Notamacropus eugenii: one gene and its partners. The protein of the gene in region 1 interacts with the protein of each later gene in a pairwise test. Links are inferred from orthologs where the notes say so. Each region holds a gene or a part of one and is shown in the gene's direction. Other genes may lie near its edges.

Evidence for each region.
Region 2: the proteins of EXOC1 (region 1) and NUP54 interact in binary tests that used the Homo sapiens proteins (3 or more experiments, as listed by UniProt). The link is inferred for Notamacropus eugenii from reciprocal best matches to the Homo sapiens genes EXOC1 and NUP54.
Region 3: the proteins of EXOC1 (region 1) and SRGAP2 interact in a two-hybrid assay, tested with the Homo sapiens proteins (2 studies listed by BioGRID and IntAct). The link is inferred for Notamacropus eugenii from reciprocal best matches to the Homo sapiens genes EXOC1 and SRGAP2.

The regions. Positions count from the first base shown.
Region 1 is NC_092877.1:107,220,121-107,223,867, forward strand, and holds the start of EXOC1 (exocyst complex component 1), read left to right. Parts: upstream 1-1,109; 5' UTR 1,110-1,339; intron 1,340-3,747.
Region 2 is NC_092878.1:151,165,540-151,169,286, forward strand, and holds the start of NUP54 (nucleoporin p54), read left to right. Parts: upstream 1-1,395; 5' UTR 1,396-1,492; coding exon 1,493-1,559; intron 1,560-1,943; coding exon 1,944-2,105; intron 2,106-2,552; exon of another isoform or gene 2,553-2,807; coding exon of another isoform or gene 2,808-2,886; intron 2,887-3,747. UniProt on the Homo sapiens protein: Component of the nuclear pore complex, a complex required for the trafficking across the nuclear membrane.
Region 3 is NC_092873.1:433,186,075-433,189,821, reverse strand, and holds the start of SRGAP2 (SLIT-ROBO Rho GTPase-activating protein 2), read left to right. Parts: upstream 1-1,414; 5' UTR 1,415-1,487; coding exon 1,488-1,554; intron 1,555-3,747. UniProt on the Homo sapiens protein: Postsynaptic RAC1 GTPase activating protein (GAP) that plays a key role in neuronal morphogenesis and migration mainly during development of the cerebral cortex. Regulates excitatory and inhibitory synapse maturation and density in cortical pyramidal neurons.

The DNA.
Region 1 (3,747 bases):
ATTCTTTTAATTTTATCCTCAGAACAACTTCAGGGATAAACAACATTAAAGGTCGCCTAGGAGTTCTTCTGGATATATGTGTGTACAGCACACATAGACAGACCAGAGAGAGAGAACAAGGGTGCGCAGACAAAAGCATTGGCAGTGAACCTCCAGTTGGAGAGCCCTTCCCATTCCAAAAGATAAGTGGTAACATCAAGTGATGGATAAGCAGTGAGGTTGGACTGAGGTCCTCTCAGTGCAAAGGAGGGTCTTTAGTCCCAGAAAAAAGTGATCTTTACCTGACGGACCACAGCAAGGATTCAGCCAACAAGGCGAAAAGGTGTTTTCTGCGGTGAGGAACAAACTCCTTTGATCATGTGATAAGTAAAGCATAGGGAATTTGCCTGAGGTGAACAGAGCTTGAGTAGACCAGCATGCCATGTTGTCAACCGAGGTCTGACGTAGAATTTGAACCTTGATCCTCCTGATTCTAAATCTACCCCCATCTCATGTGCCCCCAAAAGAACAAATCACTCAACAAAATTAAAAAGAAACTGGCAAAATAAGTATCTCTGTTTAAATTTCAGACCTTAGGCAAAGAACATCTCAAAGCTTCAGTCACCATAATGCTTTCCTGTAAATCCCACGAGGGCAAAGGCGTGTTTTTTTTAATCTTTGTAGGTGCAGCACCTCGTCCAGTGCTTTACACAAGGTAGATACAATACTTAATGTAACTTAGTAACATTCTGAGTGTCTCAGCGAATGAAACATTGTAGCCATCTGTGGTACAGCCCCCGTAGGAGCAAGTTTCCTCATTCAACTGGAAGACCCCAAATCCATCAACAAGTGAGGTGCCAAGCGATGGGGAATTAAAGACAAAAAGGAAACAGTCCCAGCCTTCAAGGAGCTTACATCCTGAGGCAGAGGGGTTTGGGTTTAAATTTTCACTAGCAAATTGAGCTCTCCCTTTAATTATTTAAAAATATTATTCTGAGAGGGTGACTACAGATTTCCCAAAGGTGCCCCGTTCCAGGGCGAAGTGACCAGAAGTCCACGGGATAGAGGGCCTGCCCCAGACCCCGCCCCCTCCCGGGTCTCCCAGCCTCGTCCCTATTGGTTCGCTCTGTGTTTGTCTGCGTCTCTCTCTGCCTCTCCCTCCCTCCCTCTCTGTGGTTCCTCCTTCCGGCTTGACTCCCGATCACGTGACCGGATGTAGGAAATGGGCGGGGCCGGAGCTTTTCCGCAGCTTCCTGGAGAGACGGAGCCCGAGGGAGAGAGAGAGAGCTCTCCGGCTAACTGCCGCGTCCTCGGCCCCAGCCCGGTGCCCTCACGGAGGAGCCTGCCCGGCGCGGCTCGGGTAAGGGGGAGGCGGAGGCCGCGGCCTGTGCGCGGTGACTTGGGAAAGGGCCGTGGTCGCCCCTCGGGGCCGCTCCTCTCCCGGAGAGACGCGGCCGTCATCTCCCCGGCGTCGCCCCTGCCCTGCCCCCCGCGCGGGCCCGGAGGGGAGCGTTCAGGCCGCGCCTTCTCCGCTCCTGCTCCGCGCGGGCCTGGGTCCGGGGCTTAGCTTCCTGACAGGATAATGGTCATTTTTGTCGTTCAGCGTCCTCCTGACCCCATTTGGGGCGTTCTTGTCAGAGATACCCGAGTGGTTTTTGCCATCTCCTCCTCTGACTCATTTTACAGATGAGGAAACTGAGGCAAACAGGGTGAAGTGACCTGGGTCACACAGCTAGCCATTGTCAGAGGCCAGATATTTTTTCTCGTACCTCCAGAGTCTTCCTTTTCCACTGAGCCCTGCAGGGAGTTAACCTGAGATCAGTGGACACCTCTCCCACAGGGATCTGCGGATCAGTTTTAGGGGGACCTTGAACTTGGATATGGGGGAAAAGAACCTGCATCTTTATTTTCACTAACCTTCATCTGAAAATTAGTATCTTCTTCTATTATAAATTTTTAAAATAAATTCTGGGAAGGGATACATGGGTTTCAGCAGATTGCAAAAGATGTTCACACAAAAAAGGATTACGAATTCCTGCTCTAGAGCATGTCTGGGTTTTCCCTTATGTGAGTGCATCCTGAATTCTCCACTCTCCCTGCAGCAAAGAAGGAATGATGCGTGGTTCCCGCAAATGTTCCCTGGCAAAAGTGAGTGGTGGCCAGCGCACAGAGTAGGAGTCAAGAACCGGGGGTTCTAACCTGGTACTGCTGCTATCCCACAGCAAATGTAATTGGTCTTGGATGGGTCCCTTGGCCTCTCAAAGACCCCAGTTTCCTCATGTTTGAAATGAAGGAGTTAGATACTCTTTGGCTCTAGCTAGAAACGTTTGTTGTATTACCAGAGTTGTACTATTCCAGAGGCCAACTGAGTATTTTTACCTTTGGAGTAATTTGTAATTTTCCTGTTTTTCCAGCTGAGTAGGAAAACACTATCTCCTGTTTAAATTGCATGTCCTCCACGAGATCTATTTTCTCATTTGTTTCATAACTAATTAGAATCAGTAATTATTACAGGTAGAAGGCACCTTAGAATTCATCTAGTACAAACCACTTATTTTACAGAAGAGAAAACTGAAACTCAGAGATTTTGTAAGTTGCCTAAGGTCTTACATTGAAGTAGTGGGCAGTCAGGTCTAGAATAGAGATCTCCTGATAAAATTCCTGCTAGTGTGCCATATTGACTATGGGGAAACCTTTTAGCCTTCTTACCATTATTCACTTTAAACCAAATCAACAAGTATTTATTGATCATCTTCTATATGCCCAGCATTGTACAAGACTCCATTTAGGTACCTTTTTGACTGTGGGCAAGTCACTTCATTTCTCTGGACCTGTTTCTTCATCTATAAATTAAAAAGTTGGACTAAACTATCTCTCAGATCCCTTCCAGCTAAAAATCTGCAGTCCTAAATACCAGACAGTTTCTGCCTTCAAAGAATCTTAGGGTATAATTGAGGAGTTAAGACAAATAAATGAAATACATACAGAAAAATACTTAAAGGATCCTTAGTTTCCTTAGTGACAGGCATTAGCTCTTCCAGGACAGACTACAACTTCTCTGTCCTAGCTGTGGTGTTTGAAGTACTGTAGATAAAAAAAATGTATGTGGTAGCTAAGCTGGCATTCAGGGTCTCCTTACTTAGCTATGCTAGTCTTCAGTTGACAGAAATACAGAAGAATAGCCAGACTTCCATTTGATGCCAGACCTGCCAGAGTTTACATTCCACAAACATAGAGAGCTTAGAGTCACCTCTGTGCCATGAGGAGGTATCAGATTAAGATTTTAGTGGAAAGAACAATATGATTAAGTGGCAGATTGTATAGTACATTAAATACTAGAGAGATCTAAGGGAAAAATCAACATGGGCTGGAATAGTACTAATTGATATTGGGTAGACCAGGAAGCGTCTCTAGGCCTTAGTTTCCTTACCTGTAAAATGAGAGTTGGACTGGGTGACATCTAAGATCATTCTAGTTCTAAGTCTTTGATTTATGATCCATTTGGACTTGGCTTCAGGGAAGAGCTATGACTCCAGTTGGATTTTGAAGAATGGTTAGAATTTGAATAGATGGTTGTAGTAGGGAATGAATGAATGAGTGAAGTACTTAATATGTGAAAAGCACTGTGCTACAAGCTACAAAAGCACTGGGGATACAAATATAAAAGTAAAACAGTCACTACTTTCAAGGAGCTCACATTCTAATGGGAGAGAACATATGTAGATTTTACCAATGTCAGATGACAAGGTCCCATGATCCTTAGGATGA
Region 2 (3,747 bases), on another chromosome or scaffold:
GAGAAGAGCTAAGGCTATATCTCTACCACCAGCACTCTAGCTGGGGGACAAGGGGCAGGGAAAGACAGAAGAGGTAAGCAGTCCTCAGGAGTGAAGCCAAGGCTGAATGCTCTTTCAGAAAGAAACGTCTTTGAACATATAGATTAAAATGATATTCATCTGATACCTGGAAAATATTTCTGGCCTAGGGGCATAATGGGTTCTGATCAAAAGTTGCTTCCCTGATTCTTCTTATGGGGGGAGATAGCCACTCACGAACCTGGCTCCTTCCCACCACATGCTGGGGACCCAGAAAACCATCACAGCTCTCAGAATTCTCCAGTAAACGAATTCATGAAAGGAGAGTTATCCAGCAGCAGCAATAGCTGCTGGCTGCTTCTGCCCACCTCAGTCCATCCTCGAGCCCCTGGAGAGATTTTCCTAAAATTCAGGTCTGATCATGTCACCTCCCTACTGCCTCCAGGAACAAATGCAAACAACCGCTTGGGAAAGATCTCAGCAAACCTGCAACTCTAGGGGTCCAGGTAAAGTTTCTCTAGGATGCTCTACAGGGAAGCACGTGCCCAGCCCTGGGACCAGGGCGGGCTTAGGGCGTGGCTAAGGAGGGGCTACTTCTTAAAGGAACAGGCACTTCTGGTATCTCCTGCGCAGCTACTTTACCCAGAGTTCATCGGGAACGAGCGAAGGGCGGGCTCCATGGAGGCGGGGCTTTAGACCTGAACCGCCCACAAACGGTCAGGACTGCCCCCATCAGTGCCCGGTTAGACGAGATGACGTAAGGGAGCAGGCCCACGTCCGAGCCTAGGACACACAGACGTAGGCGCCAGGTCAGGCACGTGACCCGATGACCCAGGCACGGCGAGCTGGATGGGGGAGAGAACGGGCGTTGGTTTCGAGCCGGGGCCCAAGCAGGGGGCACCCCAGCACCCCGGCACCGGGAGCGCCCCGCCCCCTCTCCACCGCCGAAATCGGGCGTCCGATGAGCCCCGCCCCTGCATGGGGAGGGGAAGAGCTTCCATAAAGGTCTCTAAGACCCAATCACAAGCTGATCCCAATCCGCGGGGGAGGGGAGGGCTCTGGGGCGCGCTTTCCCCCTCTTTCCTCTTTGTCTCTTTCGCATTCTTTGTTCGCACGAGGGCAGAGAAGGAAACCTTCGGGAAGGAGGACGGGAGAACAAAAGGCAGGGACAAACCCCCAAAGATCCCCGCGGAGACCCTGGGGGGGCGGGAGGAGGAAGGTACCAGTTTCCAGGATTTGCCCGGGCCGGCTGAAGGATTCACCGTGCGCATGCGCACTCTCCCCGCGCCGCGCCTCGCGTAATACTTCTCGGTGACGTCACAGACGCGACGCGGGCTTCCTCCGAGGCCCCGCCCCCCCCGCCGCCACCTGCCGCTCCGGGAACCCTCAGGCTTCGGGTTGCCGCTGCTCGGCCGGACCCTTCCACTGGTTGCACCGAGCGCCCCGTGAGAGCCGCCGCGGCCCCGGCGGCGCCATGGCCTTCAACTTCGGGGCTCCCGCGGGCGGCACGGCCACGGCCGCCACCCCCGCCGCTCCCGCGGGTGAGTGTGCAGAGCGGGGGCGGGGCGGGCTGGGGAGATCCGCCGGGGACCCCTCCCGAGGGCCGCCCAGGCCTGCCCGGCCCCGCGTGGGTGCGCCCCCAGCTGAGGGCGGGGAGGGGACCCTCGAGGGCCAGCCGGGCGGGGGTCTTCAGCGAAGAGATTCAGGGTCCCCCCCGCCCGGCGCCCGACGTCCTGGGGGAGAAGGGGAGGGGGGACTCCCGCTTGTTTGGGCCGGCGCCCCGCCCCCCCGCGGTGCTCTGCAGTGGGGAGCCGGGGCCTGCCCTCGGGGAGCTGCCCGTCGGACCGGACTCTGCGATGCTTACGTGCTTTCTTTTCTCTCTCTCTCTCTCTCTCCCTCTCCCCCTCCCCTTCCCCGCCCGTCAGGATTTGGTGGGCTGGACGCCGCCAGCTCCACCAACAGTGGGTTTAATTTTGGGGGTTTCGGCTTAGCTGCCAATCCTGCGGTGAACTTTAATATTGGGAATTTCGGCGTTTCCACCAGCGCCGCGGCCCCCTTCAGTTTTGGTAACCCTCTGGCCAGCGCAGGTAGAGAGCCCCCCGTCACCTCGTGGATGGCCTAGCAGGACTCCAAAAATGCGCTGCCCCTCCCCCCGCCCAGCAGGGGTGCCCTCGGGCCGCCCCTCCCCCCACCCAGCAGGGGTGCCTGCAGGCCGCCCCTCTCCCCGCCGGATTGGGCCCGGTGGTCCCGGGGGGAACCCCGAACCCCCGTCCCCGCTGTGGGCTTGTCATCGAGCCAGCCCCCGGAGCCCGCCCCCCCATTCTTGGACTCCTGCGGCCATGTGTCATCGTCCGTCCGTCCGTCCATCCATCCTCCCTTGTCATCCGCGTGCTGTCCTCAGAAGCCGCAAATCGCACAAAACAGCCCCTTCCCTCCGTGTCTGAGCCCGTCAGGAGGGATTGGGTTAGACCCAGACACCGGGTTCTGAGAGCAGCCGCCGGGCCGCGTGATGGGCAGTTGTGGGTCTAACTGGCAGAAGGGCGCGCACAGGTGTGTGTGTACCTGCCAGGCGTTCGGCTGCTTGGACATAAACTGAGTGTTCCGTGCTCTTACCTGGCGTGATCGGCAGCTTCGTGCCCTCTGCCAATTTAAGAAGTTGCCTTCAGAAATGTGTTTGCTGCTTACAGCTAATTTTTGGATAATTCTTTAAATTATTTTGCGAATCCCACGTTGTACGAGCCCCACGTGTTCAGGCCATCCTGTGCCTAACTTTGAGCAAAAAATTTAACATGAAAAATGACAGAAAATTTCCTGGGACACAGAAGTCATGCGTTGTATTCTTCCTGTGCTGTTTTATTAAATTACAAAGTACTTGCGTTCTTTTTAATTCCTTCCAACAAGTATTGGTTAAGCATGTGTACTGGTTGAAGGCACTGTTCGGGTGCTGGGGATTCAAAGATGAACAGGCTGCTCTCAGGGGGCTTACAGTCTAATGCTGTAATACCGTTTTACATGTTAACAGTAGAGGAAAATGGAGTTTTGTGTGTGATTTGTGCTTCTGAATAGAGCTACAACTCGGCAAAAATAAATGACAGTGTTAATTATGGTCTATTTTATAAAATGATTCATTGTTTATCTAAAAACACTGGCATTTCCATTTTTATTGATCACAGTCCATGTGTTATCAAATCACTTACATCACTATCATATTTGTACAATACTTCGCTATTTTTTTTTTTACCATTGACAAATATAAACTAAATTAACTGTTCAGCTTCTTTTATGCTGTGGTAAGTACGTGAAGTAAATCCTCCATTGATGATAAATTGTGCCCTACTGAGCCCTTTAATTATACCTTTAGAAATACTTTTTTACTCGAAATTTCAAAGTATATTCTTGAACTTTGCATATTGAAATGGAGGTCTTCAGCCTAGTGTATCTTGCTGAATTTTAAGTGTTGGAACCAAAACAAGTGAGAATTTGGCCACATATGAGATGTTTGTTAAATTGTCAGCATCTAAAATACTGTCAGGATTTTTTTTAAAAGATCTTTTTAATGTTCATACATGCATGTCTATAATATGTACACACAATATACATGAGATTCTTTTATAAAACAATGTACTGGAATGTTGATGTCAGAACATTTTTATAAAATAGCTTACAGACCCCAGGCTAAGAATAGGGCCGCTATTTAACAGCAAGAGCACACTCCTAACCATAGTGTCT
Region 3 (3,747 bases), on another chromosome or scaffold:
GACTGAGAGTGCGGGTGGAGGAGGGGTCTCCCCTCTCGCGCGGGGCCGATCCCCGCAGGGCCGGCTGGGCTGGGCTGGAGCGGGGTGGCTGGGGGAAGGCAGGGCTGCCCTCCCGCGCTTAGCTGATGGTGTCCTGGCGGGGCTCTGCGGCCCCGTTTCCTGCCTCTGCCGGCCACATTTTTCCTCTGGATGTGGCTCGTACAGAGTAGGGTCCCCCCCCTTTCCCTGCAGACCTCGCCCTCCTCCTGGCATCCCCCCGCCTTTTACATTTGCTGCCAAGGGAAGCTAGTAACCAAAAACAAAACAACGAGGAGGAGGAAGGGGAGGAAAAGTTGTGCGCTAGTAGCTCGTCCCCGCTGGGAACTGCATCCGCACCCCCTCCCCCTGCCCTGGCCTTTTGATCGCCCTTTGATGTCTAGGGGAGATACTGGGGTTGGGGCGGGGTCCGATGGCCGCCTTCTAGGTCCAGGAAGGCTTTGGCTTTGGCTGGGGCTGGGCACGGCTCAGGTCGGGCAGGATTGGGGGCGGGTGGGGTGGGTGGCTGCGGCTGAGTCCCCGCAGCCCTCCCTCCCCTGGCTCCGAGCGAGCCGAGGCTTTGAAGGGATTTTGTCTCTTTAAATTCAGAGGGAGCTTGACCTTGCCGCACCTCCCTCCACCCCTCTGCTGCCCACCCTCCTGGGGTGGGGGTGAATGGGGCTTGGACTCCGCAGCCCCTAGTTTGGGAAGACGTCGCCTCCCCCGCCCCCGCCTGCGTATCTGTATCTGCACTCCCGCTGATACCCCCTTTTCCATCCTCTCCCCCACCCCCTTTTCCTGCATTTACAGGCAAGTGAACCGAAGAAAACGACTTCCGATCCTGCATTGCTGCAGCTCCCATTTGGGATCTGATTTGCATCATCTCAGGAGCCCGTAAGACCAAACCAAACCAAAAAAGAAGCAAGCCTGGGATCAGCCCTCCACGCACACACACAGACACACATAACACACACACGCACACACATACACACGCACACACACACGGACACACGCCCAGACGCACCCCCACACCCTCGCCCCGACACTGACTGTCAGGCGCACACGGATCCCCACACCCCCACACCATGGTGCTGTGCGGAAGGACTTCCACTCCCTGCCTGTGCCGTTGATGTCAGTCCCCAGGACAGCCTCCCGGCGCTGCGGCTCGGCTGGCTGATGCTGATGCTGCGGCTCGGGGCTCGGCACTAGGACACCGACGCCGCTGCTCCGCCGCTGCTCCGCCCCGGCCCCGGCCCCCGCCACCGCCAACATCTGCATGTTCCCGCCGCGCTGGCCGCTCGCTGCCTCCCCAGCCGGCAGCCTTGCTACGGACTGAGGCTCCCCGGAGCGCTGGCTTCTGCCGGGAGACCCAGCCGCCCTCGGAAGAGGAGATCTCGGGGATTTTAACTGGAGTGGGCCGGGTTTTTTTTCGGGTGGATCTATCCATTCGGGAGCTGAATTAGGAAAGAAACATGACGTCTCCGGCTAAATTCAAAAAGGATAAGGAGATCATAGCAGAATACGATACTCAGGTCAAAGGTAGGTGGTCTTTGAAAATTGCTGTATACGCCTATTCATATGTACTTGTATATACACACGTATATGTACACACACACACACACATATATACATGTTTAAATATAGTCTATTGTGGCTCGTCGGGAAGGTTTCATTTCCCTGGATAGAGCAGGTGGGGGAGTTTTTATTCAGAGAAGACTGTCGGGTGAGGGGGATGAGGGTGTGTACCACCCTAGGATGGCAGGGCTAGGGGCCACAGGCACTAATGGAAATTTTCCAGAGCTTTCAGGTCTGCCCTAGGGACCAGGCCATCACTGTAAGTGCCCCCTTACCTTGCCTAGACTGGGGGGTGGGGGGGCACGTGGTTCTTGAAAGGATAAAAGGGGTAATCTGCTTTTGAGTTTGGGTCTTCGGAATGATTGAAATCTGACAGGTGTTTGGAGATGCATTTCACAGCCTGAAGACTAATCTGGGCTGGAAAAGGCAACCTAGAGAAGGTGTTTTATTTGGAAAGCTCCTGCAGAGGTTGGGTTTATAAGGGTGGTTTTTTTCTTAGTGTTTTTTTTCCTACTGCAGCTATTTTAAACTGTAAGACTTGCTATGGTATTACAAAACAGTCCAGGAACATCAGCTGCTAGGCATACCTGCCCAGCTACATCTAGGATCAGCCTGCTATGTGGAGAGTAGAAATCAAGGCACCCAACCTCCATCCTTTCACCCTCCACCCTGAATTTGTATGTGGTGACATGGGTTTTGAACTGAATTTTGATTCCCCAGGGTTGTGGTTCTGGAAAAGGAAAAGAAAGATCTGTGTTTAACCCTTTGTTCTTTTCCTTCTTTATTTTGAAGCCTTGAATTATTTCCCTGCAAAACAGGAATGAAAAGGTAAACTTGTAGAGGCAACTGACCAGTTCTCAGCTCTCCTAGGTCCACTGATAGACTTGACTAGTGAATCCCCCATTCCTAGAGCTCCTTCCCAAATTCCTTATTGCCCTTCCTTCCCTGGATTCCTGCCTGTTAATGAGGAACACACAACCAACATTTGTGTGGCTACCCAACCTGGCTAGCTAATCAGTCACTGGAGATAGCCCTGTGCCTCAGTCTAGTGAGATATCAGCTGGGGGATGGGAAATAGGCCTTGAATGTTATAACACATGGCTGGAAATCTAGGTTTTCCTTTGTTTCAGGGTAGAGGGAAGTGTCCCCTCCTCCTCTCCCTGTATCTATGTTAGGAAACCTTTTTTATAACATCGAGGACTTAGGGAGAGCTTTGTAACCCTTCCTCCAACCAATGCTTGGGAGGCTTTAAAATGGGAAGCCAGTTGCTTCCTTCTGCTTGGAGAGGCTTAATCTGCAGTTCCCACCATGCTGGGATCTCTTTATCTCCTCAGTTAGCTCCCCTCCAGAGTGTGCTCTGAAGGGTCTCTCTCATCAATTGACTGAAAGCCCCAGTAGGTTTAGAGCAGGGATAGGGAGCTAACTCAATTCTAGATCCAGTTGTGCTGGGCTGGGAGGGGTGTGGCTTCGAGTTAGAATTGAGTGAGGTCTTGGCCTCTTGTCCTGGTTGATAAGCCCTGACTCTTTTTGCAAACAATAGGCCACTGGCCTTTTGTGTCCTGTCCAGATTGGCTGCGTTCTGCTGGTTGGAATCCCCCCTCTCATTATAACTAGGTCTGTGCCTCTCCTTCACATCCTGTTCAGAACTGTTTCCATAGAGTTAATAACTTCCACTTTTCCAGGTTCTCTTCAGAGTCACCCCATTTGACCAACGGTACAAAGTGATTTTACACATATATTTTTAGGAAGTTTTGGGACTGAAAGGTGTTGTTAATAGAATCATCTTAGCCACTGATCCAGCTGGTAAAGGAATGCTGGAAATTCTCCTGTGTGCTCAGAGAATTAAACACTCGCATATTTACAAACACTGCTCTCTGAGATGATGTAATGCAGTTGGATCTTTGAGGTTTCTCTTTAACCTTGCCACAGACAGCAGAGTTTTCTTTCGCTCCAGTCTTTTCCCATTGACATTGTGTAGACTCAAAGAATCTTGGAACTAGAAGGAACCAGAGAAATGATGGTCTAACACTCTTATTTTGCAGATCAGGAAACTGGCCCAGAGACTTAAAGGATTTACCCAAGGTCACACAGCCAGTTAAGGGCAGAACTGGGATAAGAACCCAGGTCTTTAGACTTTCCGTCCAGCTCTCTTTTCAC